Xenopus tropicalis: one gene and its partners. The main gene of each other region encodes a partner of the protein of the gene in region 2 in a complex. Links are inferred from orthologs where the notes say so. Each region holds a gene or a part of one and is shown on either strand. Other genes may lie near its edges.

Region 1 (6,632 bases), on a different chromosome or scaffold from region 2:
GAAAAATACGATAAAGTCGCGCAAGCACCGAAAAAGTTGCGGAAAATACAAATGGCCTGATCGAAAAAACGCTCGGCGCGTTCGTAAATAAGTAAATGTGCCCCTATGAGTCAGCTTCCTGCTAATTGGCTCAGATCCACATTCCTAAAGGGGGGGGGGGAGTAAGTTCTTGAGGGAGGGGGAAGCAGGATAGAGGAGAGAGCAGAGAACTGCATGTCTCTGGCACATGAATTACAGACACAAGAAATCTTTCTCCTTTAAGTACAAGGTTCTGTTTTATTATTACAGAGAAAAAGGAAATCATTTTAGAAAATTAAAATTATTTGCTTATAATGGAGTCTATGGGAGATGGCCTTTCCGTAATTTGGAACTTTCTGGATAACGGGTATCTGGATAAGTGATCCCAATACCTGTACTTATCTGGGCCATGCTGGTGTGGGACAACAAACACGTAATGACTGAATCAGGTATATGATTGTATGAATGAGTGACTCTCTTAATGACAAGAATACATGCAGCATGCACAATTGAAAGTTCCCTATGACATAACTGGTGACTTGTAATTACTGTGTAAGACATAGGCTAAAAAGGCTCTTCAATTCTTTCATGTTATTTAATAAAAAAAGTGGTACTGAGAAAATACATTCATATACCAGCTGATAAAAGTTTACACAATGGTAGCAGTTTGTTTGTTTGTGAAGAATGCATCAGCCAAAAGCAAGCAGCATTGCAGTTATATTTGTACTAATTTTTGCATATTGTGAGAGAACCAACTATGCACACTTATGTTGGAAAGTAGGAAAGTAAAAGGATGGTAAAAAAAATTATAAGTTGAGTAATATTTTTATTGTACTTAGTGTAGATGACCAAGATGAAGCCCTACAATTTACCTGAAAGTTCTGCTGCCCACTTGTCAGAATCAGCATATATAAACTCTAGGTCCGGAGACTCCGAATAGCCCTAAAATGAACAGAAGTGCCATAAAAAAATAAACAAAAAAAGAAACCCAGTGCAACAATTTTAAATTTATTTTATCATTCAAGTTGGCAACAAACAGCTAAAACACTTTATGGCATATTTATGTTTTCTGTCTGCACACATAAAAATAATTACAAAAGGCATGTAAATAGTATCACCAACAAATGGTCATCTTTGATGTATACTGTAGAACAATAAATCATCAACATGAAGACTGCGGTCTTGGAAATATGATAGTTCACAGGAGAGACTGGGAGATGGACCAGTCAAATTGTTCTATCATTATCAGATTGTTAGATTATACCCAAACAGTCAAACTAACAACAATTTTCAGACCTTCCCTTTAAATCAAATAACTAATATCTGTGGTAAGAGGATGTCTTATCTGATCATTCTTTGGACACAAAAGCCCAGAAAGTCATAAAAAAAAACCTTTTATCCAAAAACATTGGAAGGCTAACGGCTCTGGCACACGGGGAGATTAGTCACCCGCGACAAATCTCCCTGTTCGCGGGCGACTAATCTCCCAGAAATGCCATCCCACCGGCAAAAATGTAAAAAAAATGTGAGTTTCCTCTCAAGGCAACTTCCGCGATTTCAGTGAAAGCGCGCCGCCGCTTATGCCATCCCACCGGCGATTTACATTTTCAGGGAGATTTGTTGCGGGCGACTAATCTCCCCGTGTGCCAGAGCCCTAAGGGTGAAGACACACAAGGCGATTAGTCGGCATAAGTCTTTAAAAAGTCGCTGCGATTTCTCTACGCAGCGAAAACCTGTGTGCTATTAGTCGCAGCAACATATACAGGATCCTTTGAAGGGAAAGTCGCTGCGACCATTCGCCCTAATGGCACATGGAATGTTTTTTTTCCCCATTGCTGTAGATACACCAGCAGAGAAAAGCTGATCTGCTGCCTTCTGCCCCCTCTGTGTGCACTTCTAGGCAAGGGATATACCTGTTCACTCACAGAGAGCAAATACAAATACCTATTATTGCATTTCCACGCTGAATTATGTGTGGACAGCTTTCAATGCACTTGCAACTAGTCACAGAATATGACTGCACTCTTGGAAAGAAAAAAAAAATTATAACTTCGAAAGATATCAATTCTTTCTCATAAGACTGATGCAAACAAAACCATATTTCTTAGTAGTCTGGGAGATTTAAATGTAATCAGTTTTGAGACCTAACTTTATTCATAGATGTTCAGACACTGTACGTGTTACACCTTTTTTCCTCAAAGGCTAATTTGCTTAGGTAATATTTTCAGTAGCTCTTTTACTTAACAGGGAAAACAATGAAACTGAAAGTGATTTCATTTTGCAACCTGGTTCTTTAGAGTAACCGTGGAATAGGGTCACATTATAGCATAACACATTACGAGAGCAATTGTAAACCCCAGGTGATGAAGCAGTAAACACAGACCAATAAAAAAAAAAAAATCTCACTAGTAAAAGCAAGGCCATGCTAGGAGATCTTTTGCTCATTGAAATATTTTCATGAGTACCCAGGGCCCTCTACCCTCAGACTAACTTTCAGGCATTTTCTGTGAAACCATGTGACAGAGTGGTACATTTTTATACTATTTTCTTAAGTCTGAATCATGTTTACAGCCCAAAGAATTCTCTCCTCAGTTACTTTTACAATATGCACAGCTGCTCCCAAATACCATTTGTTTGTTCCACCCTGAGAAAGGTGCAAGTGGTGAAATCTTAGCTTTGCATTAAATTCAACTTTTTGAATAATACATGGGCATGATATTTCCAGGAACACTTTAGGGCTCATTTACGTCCACGAGTGCAATAGTGGTCCCCAGTTTCCCCCCAACCAGCTGCACCTAGCACCACTTTTATGTTCTCCTTCCTACCTTCCGTTCCAAATTGAGAGCTGCTGCACCAGGGGAAGCCTGGAGCTGCCACACACTTGCTGCACCTAAAGAATCAGGTACAGACCAAACAGTAGAACTGACGCCAGCTGGATTTTGGCGCAATTGCATCCAATTTTGGGTACACAGTTGCAAATCAGATACAACTGCAATAGACAGAGCAATTGTGCCAGGCGTATCACTCCACTGAGAACCACAATGACTCAAATTCTGGGGGAAAAAGCAACATTTTTTCAAAAACCTGCAGCAATTACGCTCAAAACTGCACTTTTCTCACTACATTTGCAGAGGTACATGTGCCTTTCTGTCACAGCATCTTCCTGCAGAACAGGAATATAATGTGTGATTCTAAATGAAATGCTCAACTTTCAGGATGACGGAGATTTAATTAAATATTTTTGATAACTATAGGTTATATTAACATGACAGCAACCACGAAGAACTATAATATATATTTTTGGTGAACAGTAAAACTAAGACAAGTCAGCAGTTTAGAATAGTTCGCAAAACTGATGTGAGATTCCTTTTGGAATGGGCTTTTTAATCAGGTAAGAACTGTCTTGTCTTCCTGTCACAGGTTCCCCAGACATACCCCGGTCACTAAGTAAGCATAAAAGCTGGCACACAGTTACATTACAAGGGTAATTCGAGGATAACTGAGTACTAATCAAACACAAATGTTAATGCAATATAGTTATACATAACAACCACTTTTACTCATACCTCTGAATCCTTGCGCTGTGTACGGTTGTACTCTCGTCCCTTGCCCGGTTGGGGGCTGCCAATTACCGCACCACCGATTCCTGTTCTCATTTTGTTGTTGACAATCAGAGAACCGGAAGCCTCCATCTTTCTCAGGCGACGCCCACGTGACGTGACACCGCCGTCTCAGTAGAACATTTGCGGTGGAACGCAAAGCCCAAGGCGTGTCTGTTTCTGCTTTCCAAACATCGCGATAGTATGAAGAGTCTCGCCCTTTCTTTGACAAACTGGGCGGCTTATAGAGACTGATGTATCGGCACCAGTGTGATAATCAGTGTTTTGTATATTCCTGTCTACATAACATGTATTTTATTGCTGAGACCTGCATTTATCTATATATCTAACCATGTATTCTCTGCAGTTACAGCGATGTTTGAAAGCCGGCTACCCTTAAAGGAAACGTTAACTCTAAATACATTCATGTAAAATTGGGCTTCTTGCCACTTTTATTAGGTATTCATAGATTTTAAGCTGGTAAACGTTTTTACACAGCTAATGCGTCTAAATTGAAATAATAGCACCATCTGCTGGTCAGTTCTATCAACCAAACTACAGTCAGAAAATTTCAGTAGAAGAAACTCTTGTAACGTTGTCAGAGTGCTTATACAATTGAGCAAAAGGAAGTGTCCAGATCTAGGGTATGAGCGCTGCAAATTGTGCACCTGATGTTTCTAAAAAGTAAAATTGTAAAATGAGGCAACACACATTAGCTATCCATAGATAAGTGAAATGCACAATTTACATTTTTAAGTTATCTAAATGGCCCCTGATAATGGGCAATCATTATTGGAGTACACGTACATCAGCAGTCAGGTGTCCTGAGATGAAAAGGCATGATTCCAGGTTCTTAAAAGGGATGGGGCTTGTGGATGAGTGGGCAAGGTTTTGTTGGAGTTTTGTCTTAAATTAAGCTTAGAGACAGGTTAGAACACACTGTATAGGAGGGGCAATTTTTGTTTCGTTGAGGCCCTATTTTACTTGAGACAGGGCTTACCATTCAGGGGGCCTAGGTGTCCATCAGACTATTAATTGGGACCCCCTGGTGAAGGTGGAGATCCCTGCTAATTTAGTAGGATGGGGCCATAGAACATACACCCTAGTTTGTAATTACAGTGATGAGAAAAAGTATTTGCTGCTCCATTGTTTTACCTGGTACTGCATATTTGCAAAGCGAGTTGTTTCCGAGTTTAAATGTAATATTACACAAGGGAAACTGAGCAAACACAAAGAACAGATTATATATATATATATATATATATATACACACTTAGGGCCGCTTGAGAAATCATGAAGCCCCCCACAACAAAATTTTCTGGGCCCCCCTCTTCTCATGTGCCCGCCCCCAGTGACCCCTCCCATCAGTACAAAGGACACACATACATTGTTAGCATTGCTGGCCAGGGCCCCCTAAAACATTGATTTACAAGTACATTAGAGGGGATTATAGGCAGATGGGGGATGTTCTTTTTTCCCATAAAAACAATCAATGCACCAGAGGTCACCCCTTTAGATTAGAGATTATTTATAGTTTATGTATGTGAGTGTATAGATTGGTAGGTGTGGGTTAGGTGTGCTGGGTTTACTTGGATGGGTTGAACTTGATGGACACTGGTCTTTTTTCAACCCTATGTAACTATTGATAGCCAGGGACCCCCTAAAACATTGGTAGCCAGGGCCCCCCTAAAACATTTGTGGCCAGGGCCCCCCTAAAACATTTGTGGCCAGGGCAGGGACCCCCTAAAACATTGTTAGTCAGCCCAGTGCCCACTAAGCGTAAAATTTTACTTTTCGGCCACCAAGGAAGATGCTATGTCTGGGGCAAAACCAACATCCCCACATCACCCCAAGAACACCATCGCCACTGTGAAACATGGTGGTGGCAGCATCATGCTGTGGGGATGTTTTCCAGCAGCAGGGACTGGGAAACTGGTCCAAATTGAGGGAAAGATGGATGGTGCTAAATACAGGGACATTCTGGAGCAAAACCTGTGTCAGTCTGCCTGTGATTTGAGACTGGGTTACAGTGGTTTAAGGGGAAACATTTAAATGTGTTGGAGACTTATCCAAAGTGTCTTGCAGCTGTAATTGCAGCAAAAGGTGGCTCTACAAAGTATTGACTTTAGTGGGGGGGGGGGGGGGGGTGACTGAAGTTTTCTGTTATTTTGTCCTATTTATTGTTTCCTTCACAATAAAATAAAGTTGTAGGCATGTTCTGTAAATGAAATGGTGCAAACTGTAAATACAAGGGTGTTATAATATATACAAAGCAAAATGGGCATAGCAATCCTACACACTATACTGAGGGCTTTACTATAAATAATGAGTGTGATAAGCTTTCATTCTCCTTTAAGGAAAACTATACCCCAGAATGAATACTTAACCAAAAGATAGTTTATATTATGTTAAGTGGCCTATAAAAGAATCTTGTCAAACTGAATATATATATCAGTAAATATTGCCCTTTTACATCTTTTCCCTTGAGCCACCATTTAGTGATGGGCTGTGCGCTCCCTCAGAGATCACTTGACCAGAAATAATGCAGCTCTAACTGTAACAGGAAGTAGTGTGGAAGTAAAAGACAGAACTCTTTCCATTAATTGGCTGATGAGGCCTAGCATGTATGTGTGCACTCTGAATCCTATTATCCCAGGAGATGGCCCTTAAAGAGTAAGTTCACCTTTTTTTTTTCTATTAATAAAATAACTCTAAACAGCTTCCCAGATTGCCTGCCTTTGTCCCTCTGTTCTTTCTTACCTGGTTGCTGAGTTACATTCTGCTCTATTCCACTCCTTCCTTGTTCAGAGTGAAGCTCCGCCCCCACTTCCTGTTCAGGTCTCTCACTGCACCGACAACTTGTCGGCAGGGGAGAGTCCCTTCTGGGCATGCCTGGAGGCAGCAGGAGCCAGCCTGTGTATGAGCAGGCTTTTTTTTTTCCAGGAGGGTGGGGGCTTCTGCTCTCTCTGAAGACTTTCAAACATGGCACATGTGACTGCAAAGCACCAGGGGGAA
Region 2 (6,094 bases):
ATAGGAATATTCTCTAAGAAATATTTTCCCAGTTCATTAAATCATTCAAGTTTTCAGCCTCATTTAAAATAAATGAAACAATGTGATTCTCACTTGTAAGAAAATATTCTGTCACATTTTCTCTAACAAAGGGTACCACGCCAAAAAAAAAAAAAAAAAAGAAAGGTCGCTTGCATTTTGTCTGCGTTTGCCGCATATAGAAGAGGCAACAAACGATTCGCAAGGCTACTTGCTTTTAGAGTTTGCATATTTATTACATTTTGTTTAAAATTATGTTTACTGGCAGCATGATACATTCCCACTGGATTACTAAGTACAAATATACCTTGCATAGTAGAAAGACTTACAAATATATACAAGTAGTATTTGTAGTAGTTGGCACCTGCCAACTCTGCACTTTTATAGCAGCTACAAAGATAGGGACACTTGACAGTAATGCAGGGAGGGCGGGGTTTGTTCTTCTTTTCCATAAAATATTATACAAAAAACACAAAAAAAAAACTGAAAATAATGTAAAGAATCCATCAACTACTTTAAATGTTAATTGAATTACCTTGGTTTTCATTGAATGTGCTTAATGCAGGAGAGACTTCAGCAGCATTCCAGATTCGTATTGTTCCATCTGCAGAGGCTGACAATAAACGTTGATGTACTGCACTATAAACTAATCCCCAAATAGAATCAGAGTGGCCCTCGTATGCTCCTCTCAGAACAGTAGGGTCTGTTTTTAAGGGGAAAAAAAAAAAAAGCAAACATTCATACATTCAACAGCATTATTCTAGACACAGGGACTTTAAAATTGTCTCTCTCTCAAAACTTGCTTTGCCTTAAAGGGGACCTGTCACCCTAAGAAATAACTCCAAATTATTTAGCAAAATAAACTTTACTTACACTATATAAATAATACAAATCTTGTTTCCTTCAGTCTTGGAATTACTCAATCAAAGCAAGCAGGCAGGCACCATTTTGTGGACACTGTTATGAAGACAAGCTTTGTATCATGCCAAAATCTTGTTTATGTGCCAGAATGGGGGACCAGATGCCTATGCCCATGCACTGGCTACACAATTAGATGATGAGGAGGGAGGGGAAAAGTGAGATGTGCACTGCCCGCCTCTATGCCTAAGGCATAGAGGCGGGGCAAGCAATGTATGATTGACAGCTGGGATTTTTAATTGCCTTTATAATGGGTTTTGATGTGTTAATATAAACATGAATTTGGGTTTCATGTTTAATTTTAAAAGGACTTTTATTATACAGCTTTTTATGTCTGGGTGACAGGTCCACTTTAAGATTCTGAATGCCATAATGAACTTGCTCAGCATCACACAAAGTCGCTTCCCTTAAAAGATAATGCTAGTACGGTACCTCAAAATAATTAATTTGGTTTTACTCCTCAACCATTGTCCATTAGCTCATTTGTAAATACCATGGAATAATCGTACACTGACTTATTAAAGCAGCACACTAAACAATTTCTAATACACATTAAACAATATCCAATATTTCAGTTGGATATGGTTATTTATTAACACTTTACAATCTGTGCACTTCTTTAATTTGCAACATTGTTTCAAAAGTCGGAACTGAAAGGCATAAACAAATCCTGAGAAACCAATGGGGTTTGGGAGTGGAAAAGGCAATATACTGGTCGTTATAGCAAAGGCTGTGTTTACTTCTCCTTTAATAGCCAATGCACTGTGTTGTGATCTCATCAGCACTGAGAAGAACAAGGGGCATATGTGCTTTTTAAGTTTGTTTTTACCCATTAAACAGAAAATTTGATTTTAAAAATTGTGAAAAAGTGCATGAATATGATGAGTTTTGATGTCCCTCTGCTGCAAACTGCTAAGTTTGTAACATACCATAAGAATCATATGGATCCACGTTGGAGTTAGGAGTATTCCAGCTCTGGATAACACCATCTGTTCCTCCACTGTAACACTGCTCCCCATTACTGCTCATTACTACACAAAGTACTGGGCCCCTGGAAAGGATAGGATGCTTATTTGAGTAATTAATTAAAAACACGAAAAAACAAAATTCAACGTTGAGTAGAAGATAAAAATAACCTATCAGCAATTACTTCTGACAATTGAAAATATTGCTTGCAAGGTGATACTTAGGCGCAGTCAAATAACACTAGTTCTAATCCAGTACAATGTCTAGCCATTCTAGATATTTTACTGCCTTACCTTAAAGAGCACCTATTGAGGATATCAATATTGAATATTAATGACTCTGCCATCCTTAAAGTTAATTTGAAGGTTAAAACCCTTTTAATGAGAGAGTCTCCCTACTAGCTCATTATGCATGTGGCATCAACTCATCAATGGCACGGGCACAAGCACATTAAATTGGCGCAGTGTACTGATCACACGTCTGCCACAAGCGAGAGATACTAAACACTGATATATGATTTAATAAGTCAAATCAAACTTGAATTAATCTTAGAACATGTTCAATTTGAAGGCAGTCATGTGCATAAATTATGGACCTTTGTTACACTGCGGTTCAAGCGGATAAATACAACAGGCACCAGTTTACCATGTTAGGAAATACCTTAATATAAAAGGGACTAAAAAAACATATATTTCAAATATAGTCTCTTCTTTGAAAAGTCATTGGTGTATGATGCATTTAATTTAATCAATGCCTAAATATTTTACTGCACAGCTATTAAAAATTTCTCTTAATCTTTAACTTTACCCATTACCACAAATATAAACGGTGATCTAAATAGAAACATTAGCAAAAAAGAAAACCTTGTTTCTTACCTGTGCGCCCTGAATGTGTAAATTGGTTCTATATCAAGGGATGTACTCCTAAAAGAGAAAAAGTGTAATTTATATATGTAACTGACTTGTCTATTTTATAGTTTTTTTGCAAAAATTATTTGAGTGTAATAAATGGCCATAAACTGGTCAACCCTCCACAGTATCTGACCAATCAGCCCTTGTGCAAAAAGGCTGGATACTATATGGACTGGTCATAAACATGGACAACCACATTCCATCTTTCCATTTATTTGGGCTAACAGCCCAAACTGCATGAAGTGAAGAGGAGCTACAACCAACAAGGTGCAATGGAAGAAAGAAATTGTCAGTACTGCCTAGGACACACTATGGTAATAAAAATCAAAAACAGTGCATAGTTTAAGCACAAACATACTTTTTTGCTGGAGCAGTCTTTTGGAGATTCCACATTTTTAAAGTGTGGTCTTCTGATGCTGTAATAAGCACTGGCTCTGAAGGGTGGAAGGCGAGGCCACGTATGCCATCAAAGTGACTTCTCAATGTGAATTTAGGGTTCCATGTTTTCCTTAACGCATCCTTATTGTTGGCAATCTTGAGAGAGAAAAGACAACTCACACATCTTTATAGTTTTATGTAAAAAGGAATTATATACAAATAACTTTAACAATGCTACATAACCAAATAATACACCTACCTCCTAAAGGTAAAACCAACCATACGGCAATATTTTGAATCACAGCCTAAAATATAGTGATCATAAAATCCATTTCCTATAATAACTTTCTAACAACTACTTCCACTGTTTTTTGCAAGTGTAGTTCACCTTAAAGTTAACTTTAAATACATTATTAATAGTCCTATTCTTAGAATCCTTTTACGTGGACTGTTTGCCTTCTCTTCTGCTTTTTTCCAGCCTGCATTTTAAAATGCTATCTAGGTGTCTGGGGTCTTTGGCGTAACTACAGCAGCAAAGGGCTGCTTTTTTATTTAATTGCTTATCATTATATTGATAACCTCTGCTGCATCTTTCAGTCCGTTACAAAAATCTCTGGTTGCTGGCATAAATTAGACCGTAGCAGCCTGATAGCTTTTGAAATTTCATTTTGTAGAGCTAAAAAAACCTAAATAAAAAAATGATCTCATAATATCTCATATCACTGACTACATCATACTCAAAGTTAATTTAAAGGTGAACTAGCCCTTTACATTGTACAACACACAGCTCCTCTATGACAGCTTTCAAGAGAAAAACACAGAAAGGAAAAAGAGACATCAGTATATCTAGTAGTGGCAATTATAAGTCAACTGGACTTGCTCAGTAATCTTGACACTGTGTGACAGCTTATTTGAGAGGCTTCTTTAGTTTAACTGAACTGATCGATCAAAAACCATCATAGGTACATAAAATGTAATAATTAAGTGTTCAGCTATAAAAAGACATAATGCAATCTATTCTTAGCTTTCTAAACAACATAAATAACAATGAAAAGCAAATATCAGTTTATGTAAAAATTATTTGATAATTCTTCCCTCTGAAGGAGAACTTACATCATATGTCAAAGAATCTGCTTCATTGGCAACTGTAAGTCCAGCCAACTCTCCAAGTCCAAGCTCATTTTCTAAAGCTTCATCTGCTCCCATGATAAAAGATTTTCCAGATGAGGGTGGAAAAGTTAATGCTTCCACTGAAAAAAAGACAACACACGCTTGTTACTTTTAAAAGAATGTGATCTTTTATGTGGAAACGCAATATCCAGAAAGTGTCAAGTAAAGCAAATAATTTAAAATGATCAATTTCCCAATTTTACAATGGTAACTAAGCTGCATAAAACCATATTGGGGAGAAAAATGTCCTCAGAACTTGACTTCACTAGACATCTACCCTTCATCTGTGGCGCACTCTGAAACTTTTTTACCTTGGTCCTGACTTCTGTAAAAGGCCTCAATAGTGGTCCATGGCTCCAATAGTGAACAATTTCCACTTAAAAGGGGCACATGACAGGGATGCCCCCTGTCCCCAATGCTCTTTGCCCTAGCTATGAAGCCATTTGCACAAGCAATTAGACAACACCCCAATTTCACGTGCAAGAGAACATATACAATTATGCACAGACAATACTTTAGTATATTTGGGTGATCAAGGACTTTCCCTGGTAAGTCTCCTAGGCCTAAGCACCACATTTGCTCAAATTAAGGGTGCTGTTACAAGTGCTGCTAAATAAGTAAGTTATTCTACCTGTGGATCCAACCTTCCCCAATAGTCAATCAATTTACCTATTTGGGGGTAGTGATCAAACTACCTATTTCTGGATACTATAACGTAAACATACTTCTGCTAAAAGATTTCATAACTAACAAAAGCAAAACTTGGAAATCTTTCTTAATAGGCCCAATGGGTAGAATACAACTTAAAAAGGTGATACTCCTTCCCTAACTAACTTATGGTCTCTGGCAAGCCCCTTGCCCAATTAGTCTTTAGTGTATCTTTGTCACATTATTTACACAGCTGATTTGGGGAGGCTCCCGCCCTTGTCAACTAAATACCTTGACTAAGTGTTGCTTTCCCCAATATCTTTTTGTACTACACTGAGGCTCAATTAAGCCACTTGGCAGCTTAGGTGGAAAACGCAAATCATCAGTCAGTTTACCAACGTCATAGCACATTGCTGGGCTCTACCTGTACCAATCATGTTGTGATTTTTGTGCAACAAGTTTGCCAAAAAAACAGTCCAACTAATGCTGTTTACTAATATACTTCCTTAGACCCCTTTCTGGAAAAATGTCTGCTTTCCTAATATTGCTAAGCTGGGAAAAAACCTTATGTTGGAAGGGTGTGGTATTCTCACCATAGGAGATGCTTGGCAAAGGTGAACAATGGCTTCTTTTGATAGACTTAAGCAACAGTTTCCATTACCTGCACATTAATGGATGAAATACTCTCAAATTAAGAGATACCTAATGGTGCAAAATAATAAAAACACTATTCAGCTCAGAAAGTCACAATAGTGGTGCATAACAGGAAACCACTTTTATTACACTTAAAGGAGAAGGAAAGGCTATTAAAGAGTTATTTTCAACCTGTAGGCATACCTTTAGTTCTCTCAACAGTGCCCTTGTGTCTCCCCATATTTCTCCCATTCAGATGATCAGAAGCCTCATAGGAAAAAAAAACCACTGAGCTCTGTAAAGAAAGTTCCCATAATGCCATGCTCCTGCACCAAGACCGGTGTACATGCGCAGTTTGTAAGATTATGAGTCAGCTTTCTGCTGATTGGCTCAGATCACACATTCCTAAGGGGGAGGGAGTTCTTAGCATTCTTGAGGGAGGGGGCAGCAGG
Region 3 (6,718 bases), about 63 Mb from region 2:
AACATATCAGGAGCCCAGAAGGCATGGCTATACAGCACAGTTGGTGGCTGGCAAGTTTTCCTGTGTCGCTTGTAGTCCCTGGCTCTGTGATCCTGAGCATATGGACTGGAAGCCAGGACAAGATCAAATTCAATGGTGCATGCTTTTATTAGTGCCAGGGAGCCCAAGGCCAGAAATAACTCTGCCAAACATGCCACCCATCAGCCCCACTCTGCAGGTCTGCCTTTAGAATTCAGGGCTGTTTCAGTTACAGTGGTTTCTGTGGTTGAGACAGGATGCTGTGCAGGGGCCCTTTACTTTTTCTTTAAGGCTGATGGCACACTGGAAAAGTTGTTAACCAGTGTATTTTAGTTTCAATCATTTTTATTGGGATTTTTTAAACATTATAGCCAAATAAAGGCATTAAAATATTAACCAGTGTATTTTAGACAGTGAGAAAGTGCCCAAAACTACTTCTTATTGATTGGAATGTGGGTATTAAGAAAAAATAAAATTGCCCGGGTGGCTGCCAGGGTCTAAATGCATATGTATTAATGAGGCTTAATATGGCAAAGTATAAAGAGAAGAGCATATCAAGCCTCTTTAAAATTATCTTCAAATATGTTCTATGGTAACTATCAAGCTCAAGATATCGAAATAGCACTCAATAGTAAAGGTGGCCATATATGGGCTGATTGTAGTTTATCGGCCCATGTATGGGCACTAACGACGGGCCTGCCCGACCGACATCTGGCCTGAAATTGGCCTGATCTCAGTCGGGCAGGTTTGAAATTTAGTCAGATCGGGGACAGCATCAGCTTGTTGATCCGGTCCCCAAATGAGGGACATCTATACCCGTCTTTCTAATTCAATCGTTTGGTCCCAGAGACAAATGTCCGAATTAGCCCGATATCGCCGACCCGTAGGTGTGGCTATCAGGAGAAGATCTGCTCGCTTGGCGCCCTCGCCAAGAAAGCGGATCTTAAGGTGGCCATACACGCACCGATAATATCGTACGAAACCTCGTTTCGTACGATATTCGGTGCGTGTATGGTATGTCGGCGAGTCGACCGATATCGCAGGAAGCTGCTGATATCGGCCGACTCGCTGATCGGAATAGTTTGAAAATTTTGATCAGGCGCCATAGAAGGCGCCTGACCAAAATCTCCTTTCAGTGCTGAATCGGCAGAAGGAGGTAGAAATCCTATTGTTTCTACCTCCTTACCTGCCGATTCAGCCCTGAATGGTGTGTGGCGGATCTGACGATGTTTTGTGCGACCGATGGTCGCACGAAACATCGTCAGATCGCCACGTGTATGGCCAGCTTTAGAGTGTATGGCCACCTTAAGAAATCCAAGTCCGGTTTGTGATTCTTTCTAGTTACATTGGAGTAGTAGAAACAATAGGTTACCTGAAAGCAGTTCTAATGTGTAGAGCTGCCTCTTTCTGAAAGCTCAGACTCAGGCACAATGCACTGAGATAGCGCCTAAACACCAATATTACAGCTAAAAAAAAAAAAAAATTGTTGGTTAAGAATAAAAATTTTAAATGGTAGTGTAAATTATTCTTATTTGCTATATAAACAGTGTAATTTAGAAATAAAAAGTACACCATAAAAATCATGACCGTATCCCTTTAAAATCTAAATTGTAGAGAAACAGTAAAAAATAAAAGATAGAAAGCTTTATGTAAACAATTACATTGAAAATAAGGTGAATGAGGGAAATCACACTATATACAGAAATACATTTCTATTGCATAGCATAGCATAAAACTCTATCTGCGGCCCCACCACGTTCCTAAGGTCTTCTCCCCTCTAGTTACACCCCTGCCTTAAACCAGCCACTGAGATTTTTAATTACCGAATGGTGAAAGTTGCTTAGAATGACATTCTTTTATTATACAATAACCAGTTTGTGTGTGGAGGAACTTGTTAAAAGCTTATGAAACTTAAATATATTTAAATTACAATAAATACACAGTGTGGAAGGTGTGAGCACATAATACTCATCCTCCCAAGTGGGCACTGTACACAATAATACAAGGCAGCATACCAAAGGCATGCTCTATAACGAATAACCACTCTAGGCACATACAACTTCATTTGCCAACATATACTAATTCCATGCAGAACGACATTAAAAAGAAAAAATAACCCTTTATTGTGTCATGAGGTGCAAACCATTGTGCCCTCTTCAAACAGTGGGGCTGGGCAGCACAAAAGCATCAATTACTGACTTGGACTTTACCAAAACTGTGTTTCTGGCTAATGACTCCCTATAAGTGGATATAACTATATATCCCTATAACATACAGAATGAAGCACATCCATGCCAGGAGGGACTGTGTGGTACCACTGCACCTGTGCAAATGCGCTAATGATTCACCGAAATCCCATTCTGTAATATAACGGCACTCACAAGCACACCCCAGCCTGCGTCTCATCTCCTGCTATGTTACAAGCTGTCACAATACAACGGAGCGAAAAGCCCCATTTGCACATTACAATTAGAGAGACTTGGGTAGAGCATGCCAGGACCTGGGAGACGCATGGCAGCTGGGCATGACAGCATGGATACACAGCGCGGTTAAAGCGATACTCTCCGCTCACCTCTGTAGCTGCTCCCACACCACCGCCTCCTCCAGCTGAGTGCAGCCCAAGATTTTTCAGCTGCACCACAAGCTTCCCTGGTAAGTCTTACATCACGACTAACTAGCCAATCAAAACGGCACATGCCCACTTTCACAGCGCTTATTGGTCGGAGCAGGCCGCCCACCTTGCGTACTATCTGACAAGTGGGCATGTTTTGTTATGACAAGCCTTTACCTCGAACGGAATTTCGGGAGATGTAGTTCACCTGTGATTGTCTTGTTGTACGCCGATCATTGAAAAGAACTACGTTTCCCTATGTTCTCGGCACATGTTTAGGTCGGCCTCCTGAAAGGTAAACTCTTTGGACTGATTCCGGGCAACGCCTTGTTTCTTCTTCAGGACGGCGGACACTTCTCAGAGCGAACTTCCGGTGCCTGGGTATAAGGTTCTGGGGTGTTGTGGACACTGGGCCTGGTGAAGCTTCGCCTGTTCTCCGGATATACAGGTATTGCTCCGGTTTCTGGTTCTGGTGTCACGGCTGGTCCGATGCAGTTTGAAGTGAGAGTTGCCGGGTTTGTGGAGCTTCCTTGTGCTGAGTAATGCTAATCCCAGCTGGGCCTGGGGTGTCAGTGAGAGGAAGGAAGAGCCGCTCTGTCAGGCCAAAGGCTACTATTTATCACCGCACAAACTTCAGAGCTAGGAGGAGTCTGTTCCTCCGTGGCTACATTAGAGCCCGGCTTGCTCTCATAAACCCATAATATAGAACTGAAACTTGCTCCAAGGCATTATTAAGTATCTATATATAGAGAGAAACTTTGTGTGTTAGGGCCAGACTCGGGCTCGGGGGTTGGCAGAGCAAAATAACACGCATTCATTCATTATTTATATAACTATAAATGATTACAATTATGGGCAAGAGACCGTACCAGGAAACGAGCTATTTACTGGGGGCCATAAAGTCAAATTCATTAGCAGATTGCGACTTCATTAAGGCGAAGAAAACTGCTGATTCCAAAGGTGCTGATATTAACATTTATGGTATTATAAGTTGAAGGTATGACTGACTGACTAAATGTTCACTTAACAGTGAGTGGTATGAGTTAAGGAGAAGTAAACCTAAATATAGAATTCTGCATAATGAAAGCCAAGTCCAGTCTGTGCAAGTTTCCAATATACACTAATTGCTGATTTGAAAGGACCAGGAAAGTGAAAATGTTACTAAATATTAGTTATGCAGAGCAGCCCCTCATAACCCCAGACAATGACTTTATTTCGGCTGCCATCATCCTGGAGCTTCTGGGTCCAACTTGGCCAATGTTGCTTAAGTACTGGATCACCCCAGTATCATTGCTGGCCTGGTACAGTGCAGCCTGCTAACTTTACCTTTCCTTGGCCTTTAAAGTTATTTGTAATTGCAGTTACCATTAAAAATACTATACATTGTTGGTCCTGACTACAATACTTGTAACATTGTTGCAGTAAAGTACTTCCCTCCATGCCAAGGGTCAATACATTTCCCACAATGCCCTGCAGACTTTTTCTTTTTTCTTCTTTACTTGCTGCAAAACATGCAAGTCATTGTGGGAAAAGGAGTCTTGGCTGTAGAAGTACAGACGATTACAAAAATGTTTTAGTGGTACATGCTTAAGGACTGCTTTCAATAGTGATTACATTTACATATTTTAAAGAGAAACTTCACCAAACTCTACATAAATTTTATTTTAATAAGGAAATAACATGTATTTTTTGAGAAACTTTGCAATATATAGTAACAGTTTTCAGCATTTAATTTTACTTGCATTTGAAAGTAGTATGTTTTGTTCTTTTCTGCCAGTGTTGGACAGGATACCCGGGCCCACTGGGAACACCAACCACCCTCACAGTCTCCTCGACCATTACCCAGCCTCTCTAAACTTAGACCTGGTTGAATTGCAGCTGCTGGTTTGAGTCAGGGGAGTTTGGGATGCAGGGACCCATGTGGACTGGGGCCCACTATGGTTTTTCCTGGTTCTCTGGTAGGCCTCTTTTTTTTATAGTGTTGCAGGAGCCAGCACTTTTCTAGCCAAGGCTCCAGCAGTTCCCACCAGGATCTTACATTCTCTTTCACAGGTCTGTTAATAAGGTAGCTTCTGCTTCGTCTTTAAGGAGTCAGATCTAGTAGTGAAGATAGGGAATAGAAGTAGATTTACATTTAAATTCATTGATTTTGTTTTTAATTGATGGATACTGGAAAGTTGATTAGAATTAAATGTTCTTTCATAATGCAGAGATCTGTTATAAGCATCATCCACTAGAAATGATCCCATACCACAGCTAAACCAGGATGCTATGAATGCAGCAGCAAATTGTTGCTGGTTGTTCATAGACCTAGAAGTTGTTTGAGAAAGTGGTCAGCCCAGTTATATACCAGTCCAGCTACAAATAGAATTACTGGCTGAAAGACCAAAAGACTTGTATGTATAGCTCACACATTAAAATCTGGTGATGATCCAGTCTGTGACATTGTTCTCATTGGAGCCTTTAGTGAAGTACTTTCAGTGTATAGGTGATGTTATGCATTGATTATACCAGATATGTCTTACTTGTAGTACTACACCTGGGACTGAACCATAACTTTGTTTCTTGAAAATAGGCACTGATAACTTTGCCTATCCAGGTTTTTGAAATTTTCTCTAGGGCTATGGCAGCAATCCAGCATTCAGGTAATCATTTTAAGTGGCTTTATACTGGCTGAAAACTCACTCTGAAACTTTGCAATGGTTAAATGTGTAACTTTGGGTTTTTATGACATCTGACTAAAGTTATACTTTTCTTCATGTAGGCTTTAAGTGTCTGGAAAGGGTGTAAATCTCTGTTAATCATTAAGGTTATCACCTTTTCCTTACGTTTTTCTTCCCTCCTCCCCCACCCCCTTTAGTCAATGAGCAATACAGATTCTGCATAATGTTTAACAAATAGGAAAGATGCATTTACAAGAGGGTATGGTTTTATTTTTCTAAAGTAAATTGTGGAATCTGTAATCCAGTTATCCAAGGGTGGTGTTAATCCTACTCACTTTTTTTACTGCTCTGGTTTGTCATGGTGACAAAGGCAATAAGCTGATTACATTAACTGACAATTACTCAAAAGTAGTTAAAGGGCTTAAAAAAAAAAAAAAGTTTGCTTTTGGGTTTGCAACAAAAGACCTAACATTCTATACAATATACCTTTAATTGCAAAGACTTAAATGATTCTCCACTCTTAAGGTGGCCATACACGGACCGATTTTTTACTTACAAACGACCGATTCCCGAACAATCCGATGCTATCGTTAAGTTATCGTATAGTTGGTGGTGTACGAACGATCGTCGGCCCACTAAACGAGCCGACATTATCGTCCCCAAAATCGATCGGCCAGGTTTAAAAATTTTGGTCGTTTAACGATAAAATCTGCCAGTTGGTGTGAGTGTCAGACATTTGTCTTTCAACGATTGCTCTCTGCGCATGTCACGATTGCCAGCAGCGGAAGTCAACGACATTCAATCGTACGTAGATGTACGATCGTACGTATTTTACGATAATGATGCGACGAAATCTTTCCCGAATTATCGTTGCCCGTGGATGGCATATCGTATGGGAACTCGATCGCCATACGATCGTTTGTCGATATAATCGTTCATCGCACAACGAGCGAAATCGCCTCGTGTATGGCCACCTTTACTGCTGGGTGTGATTATTGAAACAGTGTAGCAGAAATTAGCTCCCCTCCAGCTGAGACTCTAGTTCATACAGTACCATGCATGCATTTTTTTTTAATGGTCTGGTTATCAACAGAATTCTGCTGTTTGTTGACCCTTTGCAGTCACTTGGAAAAAATAATGGGCTTTGTACCATCTGAACTTTATTTGTTTCTCTGTCTATGCTTTTGAGTTACCATAATTGGGGAAAAAAAAATCTACACACATTTTTTGGGATATGTGGTATATACACTTTTTTTTTTTGTTTTCCAGCTTTCTTATAGAAGTGCATATAGATATGTAAAAATTGTGTTGCCACAGTCACCCAGCAATCTCTCTAAGTAGCTGGCCTTTGAGCAGCCCTTTAGCATCAGCTTTTAAACTTCCTTTTCTGCTTATTTACGGCAGCCTCTAACCTGAGCTTAAAGGA
Region 4 (6,094 bases), on a different chromosome or scaffold from region 2:
CCCTGACACCTGTATTGCTAAAAATGGTGCTATGCTCCAACTAGTGGTAGATATGAGAATAGCACTAAATAGTAAAAATCCAAGTCCAGGTCAGCCAAGTCATGACACCTCCAGTTACACTGAGGAGGAGGAGAAACAATAGCTTATTCGAATGCAGTTCTATTGTGTAGTGCTTTCTCCTTCGGAAAATGTACTGAGATGGCTGTATACACACCAATATTACAACTAAAAAAATACATTTGTTGGTTCAAGAATAAAGTATTTAATTAAACCTTATTGGACTGCCACTACATTAATACATAAGCTTGAACACATTTAATGCCTCTCTTACTATGACCAACCAATTACCCATACTGCTAAACACCATTTTATTAAGGCATAGTCTACTCAGTGGACCAGAATAAAGACCACATTCCTAACTTTACATCTGTGCGGAGAAAGCTTCAGGCGGGGTTTTTCTTGAACAGTTACATGGTATATTATTTAAACCAGGGCAAGTTAATACTGAGTTTATTGCAAATACTACAGCTTTATTACATATATATTCAAGCAACTTATTAATAAGACAAGTACATATAAAAAGGTAAATTGGTTGTAAGACTATACAAGTTCTTAATACAACATCATGTTTAAGGATAGTTATCAGATTAGACAGTATGTTGGAAGGGTGTAGAGGGAGAAACTAAAATGAAGCAGTGCACTGGAAAACAAGGCAGCTTTTATGGGTGCATCAGCAGCTAACTGCAAGGCCACTGAATAGTTTCATAGATAAATGTCATCATGGCATCAGCATAAAATCACAGGACCTATTCACATTTACTGGATTTTCTAAAGACAGACAAAGTATTTAAGGCACTGAATACACCTTCAAGTCCATTTAGCAACAGGTAGCAAAAAGATGATCTGGACACCAGAGTAAGGAAAAACCATTCAGAAAATAACTCATTTGTTTTGAGCAACAGAATATCTATAGGTACAGATCATCTTGTATTTAAATATATGACAATGTACACCTTTATTCGATGAACCCATTAAATTAACTTACTGCTTATAATTAAAATATATTTACTATGATTTTTTATTGCCAGTGTTAAACAATACATATGTAGCAGGACCCACTTTTACTTTGCTTACTACCTCTCTCCCACCTGCCTCATAAATGTAAAGTAAACAGAGGCATGGTTTTATTACCCTCCAACTGTAATGTAGAGTGGAACTAAAATATTCACCTCTGTATATTAGACACAACCCTAAAATTTTGTGTTTATTATTGCTTTCCCCAAAGCATAAAGTTAATCTAAAAGTGTTCAACTTGCCCCACCTTGCCCCATACAGAAAGATCTACTGGTTTAAATCAGGATTGTCCAATCATTTAGCCCTAAGACCAAGGGCCAGATGCCCAGAGAACCTGCACAGGGTCACGCTGTAAAATGCATCCACAGCCTCATGCAGACATGGTTGAGTGGCATTTTAAGCCAAGCCTGATCAATAGTAGACCAAATAAAATGGTGATTTTATGGGCCCATTAACTGTCAATTTAAGTGATTAACGCACAATAAACAAGACTAACTTTGACAAAAAATAAAGCCAGTTTTCATAGCCTGAGGGGGCGTGGGGTACAAGAGGTCTGCAGTGCAGAGTCTTCTGTATGGTAGTTCCTCATATCCTGCACTTCATACAACATGTCAGCATCCTCCTCTCACCCCTACAACATCTTCAAGGGTCCAGCGCACACCAGCAGGCCCCCGACCCCTATGTATCCCCCTGCTGCAAACAAGCGAATGTTAAAGTTAAATGGGGGGGTTGGAGCTATTATATTAAATTATGCTTCATACTCTCACAATTTAATTGTTCCATTGCTTTTACAAATTTAGTGCCACATCTCTGCACTCTCTCCAACTTAACTTAGGTGAGGCCTTACTATGCACCTAGAAAAAGGCTAAATTATGTTTTCAGCCCTTGAGTTAATGCTAATTTCATGCAAGACTGAGTAGCCACTGAGTGACACTGCCTACAGTTACATAGTTTGTTATCCACAATCTCAATTAAGGACCTCCCAACCAGAGCCGGAACTAGGGGTACCCTTGCCTAGGGCGCAATGGTGGGGGGGTGCCAGGCAGGTACCTCTTCTGTCACCTACCACCGGTTCTGGACCCTTTCCCCCGACAGTGCAGCAGTCCCTGTAATCCCCCTGCCCCCCTGTGTGCACATGTGCCTGTGCGCACGGGGGTGGGGGGGGGTGTTGGCAGTGGGCGGGCCAAGCCGACCAGGTTGCCTAGGGCCCTGGCCTGCTTGGCCCGGCACTGCTCCCAACACACTACCATTTAGTGTATAACTCACATTAATTAATTCTGCATAACCTTGCATATATCAACAACGGACCCCATTTGCTGCCCAGTTTTCCAATTTAGCCAAATCACTCTGCAAAATGTATTTGGCAAGATCTATTGGTCATACAGGAAATCCATGCTGGCACAAAGTCATAGTATTGTGAATTACAATGTTTGACAGAATCTTATCCCTTATTACCCCATATCAGCAATTCATTAGCTTCTCTGCACCATGGCAGACTAAGTTTTTATACCAATACACTTATATGTGTATATTTTCCATTTCTAGGGATAGTATGCACTGTAAAGCTTTTTAAGAAGTGGCATTGTTCTTCTGCTGTCTGAGGAAAACAATTTTGTGCTACTGCAAGTGACAAAAATGATCATAATTATCTTTCTGCTGCAAAAACTTATTTTTTTTTTTTTACATTGGCTCTGTTTAATCAGTTAAAGGGCTCCATTACATTGTATGTTCATTAGAGGTAATACTTTCTCAATGTAAAGAGTTGCATTTCATGTACACAAAGGTCCAAACCTCCCCCTAATAAATAGTGACTGTCTGTGGCATCTTACAGCAGCCCCTCTGGAATTTGCCAGAATTCACAGTCTATACCTACAAGCATTTCTTAAACACCTGCAGTCCATTGATCATTTTTACATACATTTAGTTTATTATGGCTCTTACTTTTTCATTTGCTGTGCTATGTCACAGACAAAACATAGCAGAATAAGTTAGCTGATTATTAAACATCAAAACACTGTTGTGCGAGCTGTCATGAGTACTGAAGGAGTTCTTCCCAGTGGATTGGCTTGGAAAATACTTCCCTTTCTAACCAGAGCTCGTAGGTGTAATGAAAATCCCCCGGAAGCTCCAGCGTCTGCCCCACTACACTTAGTAGACAATTATCTACTGGAGCAAACTCCCAGCTTGGGTTCTTTTCATATCTCCGACTGTTGAATCTCTCAATGTTTCCACGCAAGGTGCATTCCTCAGCCTGAAAGTCCCATGGCCTGGCATCAATGTCTAATAAAATAATATACAATAAAGACATAATTTTTTTGGAGGCGAATATAAAAAGGTTTAATTAAACCACTGATATATGCAAAGCAAATTATTAAATAATGGGAATAATGTAATAATAGGTTAAGTTTTTGCTACTGGTCTAATTACATCACAGCAGGTAGCATTTACTGGTGCTGGTCAAATATCATATCACAGATATTTTTGATATGTGTAATATTGACTGTCATTAATCCTGCCTCCCATGCAAAGAAAGATACATACCATTGCCATAAGCCCAATCATCATTCATTCTGTGACGCACCAACTGGTAAATGGCAGACATTGTCTTCATGTTACTCTTCCTCCACTGTCTTCCCAAGTACTTGGTCTGTAGCTTTAGCAGTTTCAGTACATAGAGCTGCAGAATTGCCTGCTTGACCTTCAGTGCACGCTTTAAAATGGGAGCAGATTTGAATACCACCAGCATCTAAAGAACCAGCAGAGTTAAGGGCCACATTTTACTTAACCAAGGTACAAACAGGTTAACATACAAACTGAAGGGTAATGACACAATAATTTTACAAAAATCAAGATGCAAATTTAGCTTAGATTTTCTTAATGTGTATACAAAAGTTTAGCAAGGACTAAATAATACTCAGGACTGCTAAAGTCAATTCAGGCAGTAGGAATGTACTGGGCTTCATACAGAGATGTATTATGAGCTAAGTATATTGGGCAATATGAGACCCGAAGTTCTCATAATATATCAGACCACATAAAAGTGGTCATTAACCATGCCTAGGTGCAAAAGTTTTGCCTTTTAGGGTCCATGAATGGAGCCCTTGCACATTTTTTGTTACAGAGGTGAGATGTGTAGAGTCTATTTCACTGGGACATGCCAACATGTTAGCCCCCCCCCCCTGTGAAATAGGTCGGCCAGCTTTTCCTTGGGCATAGAAAGGTCTTTATACAGGTATGGGATCTTTTATCCGGAAATCCATTATCCAGAAAGTTCTGAACTATGGGAAAGCCATCTCCCATAGACTCCATTATAAGCAAATAATTCTAATTTTCGAAAATTATGGGCTTTTTCTCTGTAGTACTAAAACAGTACCTGGTACTTGATCCCAACTAAGATATAATTAATCCTTATTGGAGGCAAAGCAGTCCTATTGGGTTTATTTAATGTTTAAATGATTTTTCAGTAGATTTAAGGTATGGATATCCAAATTATGCAAAGATCCCTTATCCGGATGACCCAAGGTCCTGAGCTTTCTGGGTAACAGGTTCCATACCTTTACCAATAACACAAGTGACTTAAAATACAGATTACATTATATACAAAAAACATAAATGTATTTTCCATGACAAGTCTTTTAAAGGACACATATGGACTAACCCTAAAGTGAAGCTACATGGCAGGCATAGGATCTTTTCTGCAATCCAACTGCTGCAGAAAAAAACAGTTGGTGTACAAAACATTCCAGTAATAAACCATCTTCATTACTTCCAACAATGTCCCCTATAAATTCCTTTTAGCCATGCAGACAAAACTTTTTTTGTGAGAATTTTTGAGTTTCCCTTTGGAATTGTATAGCTCCCTTCTTCACACTAGTAGAGATAATGGACAGCAGACCATACAAGATTATACAAAAGAGAACTATATACTGCTTTCTCAAGCATAAATTAAAGAAAACATTTCCTTTACATCTTCACATACTGTATCTTTCTAATCCTACACTTCACAAGACAAGCATCATACAAACGAATGGATATAGACAAGAACAACACCATAAACAATCTTTGGAAATACAAGACTGTAAAATGACCGTGCATTTATATAATAAAATCCACTCACATGCAAACATAGATATCAAAGAAATTACTCTGTTTAAATGGACAACTGTAATACCACAATTCACTTTAACAGAGATCCTAAAACTTCACACACATTTCAAAATTACTTAGTAGATTTAAAAAAATGGGCCTACAGCTGCTCCATAATTCATACCTAACCCTTGAAAAACACACTAAGATGGTAAATCTCTCTCCTAAGACAGATGTCTCCGTTGCCAAACTACCAAGGCAAACCTCTTAAATAGTTTTTGGCTCTGCCCTAAAATCTAATATTTTTGGCTGGACACGACCTCCTATTGGAGACAGATGGCTGGGAAACCTCTTCACTTGAACAAAGACTGCACTTTATTCGCCGTTTAATAACCTACACTATATCTTTCACATGTACTGCTTGGAAACCATTACTAATAAGGAACAACACATTAAAAAGTTCTTCTCTGCTTGGTCCATAAACATAATTATTTTGCCACAGACACTTAGATATATAACAATTCATACTTTTCAAAATACAGCATGGTATGATGTGGAAACTTTAAAGGGCAACACACTTTTCCTGGAAACTAGTCCAGACAGGAGTCCCCACAGGAATCACTGCATTAAAGGAACAGTAAAACAAAATTTTCACTTTAAAGATATCAGTTCTAAATACTTTTATTAAGCTATGTAACATTAAAATTATGCAATAATAGTGGTTTTGTAATAAATTACATTGCCATTGACTTACTGGGCCAAGCTCAAAAGGCGATATGGCGATGGGTAGACTTCCGGTTTAATCCAGAAGGTTTAATCCAGAAGTTGATTTAGTGCCTTCTTCGAGTCTTTTTTAAAGTGATTTATGGGCTACTAGTGATCTGGCACAGAGAGGGAAAGGAGAGGGATAGGAGACGGACCTTTTCTCCTCTTT
Region 5 (6,094 bases), on a different chromosome or scaffold from region 2:
GTGAACTTGTCTGCCACCATGTATCTTACTCTCCAAGATTTATCTTCAGCTGCCTGGCGCAGTGTGGGCATAACCAGTGGTTCCAGCTCTTCTTGGGGTAGAAGCTGAGCAATGTTTACACAAGCCTCGACTGCCAACAAGCGCACTGAATCCTGGGAAAAGCCAGAATTACAAACAACAAAAAAAATCAGAAACAAGCATAAACAACGGTTTAAATATCGGAGTATAGTAGTACAGTATTGGTACTAAGTTAGAAAGTGTGTGTATGAAAGTATAATTTAAATTTGTAAGTAATTTGTATCATAAACTATGATTGAACATTTATAGTGACACCTTGTGGCAAAATAGGGTATCAACTTCTGGACTGAAAAGCACTTACAGTTCAATAATTCATTAACGATACCATTTGGTTCCAATTTACCATTATTAGGGGAAAGCACTTAAGTATGTAATATATGTGAAGTTTCACAGAAAGGGTCCCAGAAACTTTGGGCACAGATGCTGTACAATAGTACATAAATTACAATTTTCACACGAGGGTGCTAATCCATAATATTTTATAGACAGATATAGACATACATGCAGACACACATTTATTTAAATATATATTTCCATGGCTACAATCAATCAGTTAATAGATTAAAATAACCTTACAAAAGTAATGTACAGTATATGTAAACGATCACAAATAAATAAAATAAATAAATAATGCTTCTGCCCGTGTCTAAAGTTGCAAACTGTTTTCAGTCTTTAGATATTTTGAAGTCGATTGTTAGAACCTCACCTGCAATAAAAGCTTTCAGTTTGCTTAATGGCGGCATGTATATTATATATATATATATACACACATATACATGTTCTAATTCAGGACATTCTCGTAGAATATATGTGGCAAGACCTGCAATCAGTTTACCTGCTCATCAGATGCTAGGTTGGAAAACATGGGAATTATTTCACTCTTCACATTTTCCAACTCCAAAACTTTAGCAAACTCCCCCAACTTGGAAGCAGCGGCTCTTCTCACCATGGGAGTATCGTCTGAGCACAAGTTTCGGAAGTGCCTATAGAGAAAAAGAATGTGCGCATTTTTTATATAATGAAAATGTGCTGTTTTATTGCAACGTTTAATAAAACTGTTTTCATTAAAAGGACTGAAGAGATTATAGTAGGTAAAGATTATAGTACTCGCATTATTCCCCCTAATTTTGTTAGCAATAATGAATAATATATTTGTCAGCTTTCACTAAAATATTGGTCATTGCAGAGTAGTATTGCTCTGGCATTGTAAAGGGTTAACACTGGAAACATTTGGTATTAGGTCTGCAAAGAGTCCCTTTAGACACTTTCACAGGAGGGCTATGCAAACATGATATTCATATCTGAATTTGGAGACAATTCGGAGTGACACCATTTGGGCAAAGAAGTTGAGCCAGTCACTTCTTTTGAACTGTGGATCAAAGGAAGGAGCTGTGAACCTAGGGCTGCAGGGGGGAGCATTTATGGAAAAAGACAAGGATCCATTTCACCTCATATATAGGGTTCACCTCCTCATAAATCATATATATTGGTTGTGTGGCGGTCACACAATTCCTAATGATACCAAACAGGGACAGCTTATTCCCACCATTTAGGAGGGATTACCACCTCATGTTTGGTATCATCCTTATCACCCACATATGGGTCACTGCATACCCCTATTTTCACTATAATATTGGGTACTGGCACTGTACTAATATTATATTACAGAAAATGGGCCTAAAACCAACAACCACAGGGGGTCATTAATGATTTGGTCCCACCTCATACATAAGGTAATGAGGGTGAAAGGAGAATGTCCCAGCAGGCCATAAAAAGGGGTATAACCCTTTGGCTGCTGGAGTACTCAGTAGTAGAACCTCACCCTCACTACAATGAGAAAGAATGTGCGATACATTTGTGTATGGGTAAATATTACCCATTGTAGAGAGCAGGGAGATATATAGTATAATAGTTATAATCGTCTTTAGTCATGTGTTTAGTAATGTTATGCATTATAATAATACATGTATAGGACACTGCTTATTGGATAACTGTATGATATTTAAGTAAGGCCACAATCTGGTGGTACTCACTGTCTAAGTTCGGCCTTTACAGTGCTGGAGACACGTGGATAGCAAACGCTGAAGAGGCCACAGGCAGATGTGCGGGAGGTGAACCAGTCTCCACTAGCCAGGCGCTTTACCAGTGGCACAAAGTGAGCTTCAAGGTCAGAAGGTGAATGCTCGTGAGAAATGGCACGGAGGGATTCAACGGCTTTGTCTCTTACTACGGTCTCCTCGACTGTTGCCAGGCTCTCCAATGGCGGCTTTTCAAGGCAAAATGAGAGATGGTTAGAAAATGATAGATAACTCAGTAGATAAATCCAGCGCTATTCCTGTTCACCAATTTTTTAATCAAATGTTTAAAGGGTCAGTACCTTTGCAAAACCTTTTTAAAGTTAAAAAACAAATAGTTTTTTTGTTCCAACCATCTAAATCAGGTCCCCAACCATCTAAATCAGTGGTTCCCAGGCTGGACCCCAAGGGGGAGGGAAATAGTCTCCATACTAATTAACGTGAGATTTGCCCATTTGCTCACCTAAATACAGCGAAAAGACCAGCCTGAAGGTATATTAGAGTAAAAACAGTAAAACATATTTCCTTATTCTTAAAAGAGAAGAAAAGGTAAATACTCAGTAAGCTTTATCAGTAAGGACTATGTAAATACAGCCATAAGCACTCACAGAAACACTGCACTGAGTCCTCTATCAAAAGAAACACAGGATTTCTGGTCTCTTTTTTTTGGTAAAAATGATGTTCCACTGTCTGACTTCCTCTCTCAGAAACAGCCTTAATTAAGGTGACCAGAGTTCTCTCCTGCTCCCCCTCCCACCAGAATGATAAGAACTCCCTCAGGAATGTGTGATCTCAGCTATAACAGCTAGACTGCAGGCAGGAAGCTACTTAAAAGGGCAGCTGCTATCTTAAGCAAATGGAGAAAGTGTCTAAAGCTGTTTACTCAAGTATGGTAACGGTTTCTACAGAATAAATATAGCGCTCTAGGTGGCACTAATGTGGCAAATCTATTGGCAGTAAAATGCCAAAATTACTTTCCTTCTCCTTTAAAGCTTTAGCTGAATGGTTGATATGCCTATAGTTTCCTATATTTATAATCTTGTTATGTGTGTAGGTAGCCCCTCAGTTTAGACAGCCAACAACTTGGCTTGCTAAGATTTTTAAAACGTAAACACTCGGACAGAAAATGGTCAAAAAATAAATAAAAAGCAAGTTGCCCCTATTTTCAATTACTGGAGTAAATATATTTTATACTTTTTGAAAACATTATTATGAACACAAACAGCCACTTTAAACAGAATTATAATATTCTAATTATATAATTACTGGGGAAGAGTCTATTTGTATTGGAGTCTAATAAATACTCACCAGCAAGCAGTGTACAAATTCTGGTCCCCCCACCAGTGAAGTAAAGGTCCCCAGCTGCTCAGCCAAAGCAAGAAGAACTTCATCTTCATCATATATGGTGTCTAAAAAAAAATGGAAGGTCAATCATGAGGATTAAAGGAGACATATACCAACACTTCTGAGCATTTTTGCCGTTATTTTCTTTTTTTTTTTTTGTTTTCATTATATTAGTACAGGTATGGGATCCTTTATACGGAAACCCGCTATCCAGAAAGTTACGAATTACAGAAAGGCTGTCTCCCATAGACTCCATTATAACCAAATAATTCTACTTTTTCAAAATGGTTTCCCTTTTCTCTGTAATAATAAAACATTACCTGTACTTGATCCCAACAAAGATATAATTACCCCTTATTGGGGCAGAACAGCCCTATTGGGTTTATTTCATGGTTAAATGATTCCCTTTTCTCTGTAATAATAAAACAGTACCTGTACTTGATCCCAACAAAGATATAATTACCCCTTATTGGGGCAGAACAGCCCTATTGGGTTTATTTCATGGTTAAATGATTCCCTTTTCTCTGTAATAATAAAACAGTACCTGTACTTGATCCCAACTAAGATATAATTACCCCTTATTGGGGCAGAACAGCCCTATTGGGTTTATTTAATGGTTAAATGATTCCCTTTTCTCTGTAATAATAAAACAGTACCTGTACTTGATCCCAACTAAGATATAATTACCCCTTATTGGGGGCAGAACAGTCCTATTGGGTTTATTTAATGGTTAAATTATTCCCTTTTCTCTGTAATAATAAAACAGTACCTGTACTTGATCCCAACTAAGATATAATTACCCCTTATTGGGGGCAGAACAGTCCTATTGGGTTTATTTAATGGTTAAATTATTCCCTTTTCTCTGTAATAATAAAACAGCACCTGTACTTGATCCCAATAAGATATAATTAATCCTTATTGGAGGCAAAAACAATCTTATTGGGTTTATTCAATACTGCAATGATTTTTAGCAGACTAGGAGACTTTAGGAGATCCAAACTACGGAAAGATCCTTTATTCGGAAAGCCCCAGGTCCCCAGCATTCTGGATAACAGGTCCCATACCTGCAATTGTGCACTGCTAATATAATGCATGTGTAAGAGAAGCGCTCTTGCTGTTCTGTCTGGTTGCTGCCCAGCAAAAACTGAATTTAGCAATACAGGAAGTATTCCTTATTTCATACCACAGCTTTTCTTTTAACTTTGTGAAACAGGTTTCTCTATTCAGTCCAGCAAATCCTCAGCGTATGACTTACCGGTTAGGAATGGAAGAAGCTCGCTGCGTGTTCTCTCTACCCCCAGGGCCAAAGCAATAGTTGAGAGCTTTTTAATGCTGTTAAGACGAAGCTGGAAAAGCAAAATAGAATTTAAGTTAGCATGCAAGATTTCAAAATGGCGCTTGATATTTTCTATGTATCAGTAATAAAAAGCATCATTGTAACCACAACAATCTCTATTATTAGCATATTAAAGAGGAACTAAAACTTATTTAAACTTTATTCTCCCCCCGGTGATTCAGCCTTTCCTCTTCTTTAAGGAAAGTTATGTAATGCAAACCATTAACCATTTAAACCCATCAAGTGAAATTTACCATTCCACACTGTACATCTACAGAACACCATCATTATCATCTATAATTAGCAATATGAGGTAGGGCGGTGAGAAGCCTCAGGTTTAGCTTGGTGAGAATCAACAGCAACAGATGCTTTGCTTCCTCTTCAATATTTTGATTAATTAGGACAAGAACAGAAATGTTTTTGGGATGCAGAGGCATTTAATTACCATTGGTGTAAAGGTACAGTTTATTGCACAATACACAAGCACCAATGAATAAGCTACAAACTACTGACCAATCAAAACAGGGAATGTCACAGCCATAAAACTGTAAAGGGCAAACTAGGGCTGTGATACGCTCTCTCTGGAACCATCTCCATGGCAACAGATGCTCTGCCAACTTTGCCTACTTGGTCCCAAACAAGCAGTTTTACAAAATACACGCACAGAGAGCGGCTTTAAACATATTTGGGAAGTATTTGTAATGCATAGTTCCTTAAATGGTTAATGCGGCACAAAATGATAGACAAAGTGCAAGTGCTGCTGCTGTTAAGTTTATCTTGTGTTTATTTAATGTGTGGGCACGCGTGCATTTTAAATAAATATTGTATAGAAGTTATAGCACCGGGATTTGGCGTTTGCGCCTCCCCACAGATACTTTTGTAGTTGCACAGGCAAATGGAACCTAGCAACAGCATGGGAGGGGGGGATTGCTCAGTACGTCACTATCTTCCACCCACATTCATTCATTCAACGAAAGAGGAAATACAGCAGCTGGCAAGTTATTTATAATCTGATGGAGGCTTCTGATTGGGTGTTAAAGGGATACTGTCATGATTTTTATTTCTAAATGACACTGTTACATAGCAAATAATTGCCATTTAACATTTTATTCTTGAACCAATAAATGTATTTGTAGCTGTAATATTGGTGTGTAGGCGCCGTCTCAGTGCCTTGTGCCTGAGTCTGAGCTTTCAGCCAGCGCTACACATTAGAACTGCTTTCAGCTAACCTATTGTTTCTCCTACTCCCATGTAACTGGAG

The links.
Region 1: strn (region 2) and strip1 share a complex: the UniProt entries of both Homo sapiens proteins name them as parts of the core of STRIPAK complex. The link is inferred for Xenopus tropicalis from reciprocal best matches to the Homo sapiens genes STRN and STRIP1.
Region 3: strn (region 2) and pdcd10 share a complex: the UniProt entries of both Homo sapiens proteins name them as parts of the core of STRIPAK complex. The link is inferred for Xenopus tropicalis from reciprocal best matches to the Homo sapiens genes STRN and PDCD10.
Region 4: strn (region 2) and strip2 share a complex: the UniProt entries of both Homo sapiens proteins name them as parts of the core of STRIPAK complex. The link is inferred for Xenopus tropicalis from reciprocal best matches to the Homo sapiens genes STRN and STRIP2.
Region 5: strn (region 2) and ppp2r1a share a complex: the UniProt entries of both Homo sapiens proteins name them as parts of the core of STRIPAK complex. The link is inferred for Xenopus tropicalis from reciprocal best matches to the Homo sapiens genes STRN and PPP2R1A.

The regions. Positions count from the first base shown.
Region 1 is NC_030678.2:72,083,344-72,089,975, reverse strand, and holds the start of strip1 (striatin-interacting protein 1), read right to left. Parts: upstream 3,718-6,632; 5' UTR 3,711-3,717; coding exon 3,585-3,710; intron 961-3,584; coding exon 891-960; intron 1-890. UniProt on the Homo sapiens protein: Plays a role in the regulation of cell morphology and cytoskeletal organization. Required in the cortical actin filament dynamics and cell shape. Part of the striatin-interacting phosphatase and kinase (STRIPAK) complexes.
Region 2 is NC_030681.2:50,048,452-50,054,545, reverse strand, and holds part of strn (striatin), read right to left. Parts: intron 4,442-6,094; coding exon 4,305-4,441; intron 3,348-4,304; coding exon 3,172-3,347; intron 2,826-3,171; coding exon 2,778-2,825; intron 1,988-2,777; coding exon 1,866-1,987; intron 722-1,865; coding exon 554-721; intron 1-553. UniProt on the Homo sapiens protein: Calmodulin-binding scaffolding protein which is the center of the striatin-interacting phosphatase and kinase (STRIPAK) complexes.
Region 3 is NC_030681.2:112,893,543-112,900,260, forward strand, and holds the start of pdcd10 (programmed cell death protein 10), read left to right. Parts: upstream 1-2,982; 5' UTR 2,983-3,077; intron 3,078-4,430; exon of another isoform or gene 4,431-4,587; intron 4,588-6,718. UniProt on the Homo sapiens protein: Promotes cell proliferation. Modulates apoptotic pathways. Increases mitogen-activated protein kinase activity and STK26 activity. Important for cell migration, and for normal structure and assembly of the Golgi complex.
Region 4 is NC_030679.2:87,142,873-87,148,966, forward strand, and holds the end of strip2 (striatin-interacting protein 2), read right to left. Parts: intron 3,821-6,094; coding exon 3,616-3,820; intron 3,355-3,615; coding exon 3,104-3,354; 3' UTR 494-3,103; downstream 1-493. UniProt on the Homo sapiens protein: Plays a role in the regulation of cell morphology and cytoskeletal organization. Required in the control of cell shape. Calmodulin-binding scaffolding protein which is the center of the striatin-interacting phosphatase and kinase (STRIPAK) complexes.
Region 5 is NC_030683.2:120,830,340-120,836,433, forward strand, and holds part of ppp2r1a (serine/threonine-protein phosphatase 2A 65 kDa regulatory subunit A alpha isoform), read right to left. Parts: intron 4,844-6,094; coding exon 4,753-4,843; intron 3,563-4,752; coding exon 3,462-3,562; intron 2,345-3,461; coding exon 2,112-2,344; intron 1,062-2,111; coding exon 914-1,061; intron 153-913; coding exon 1-152. UniProt on the Homo sapiens protein: The PR65 subunit of protein phosphatase 2A serves as a scaffolding molecule to coordinate the assembly of the catalytic subunit and a variable regulatory B subunit.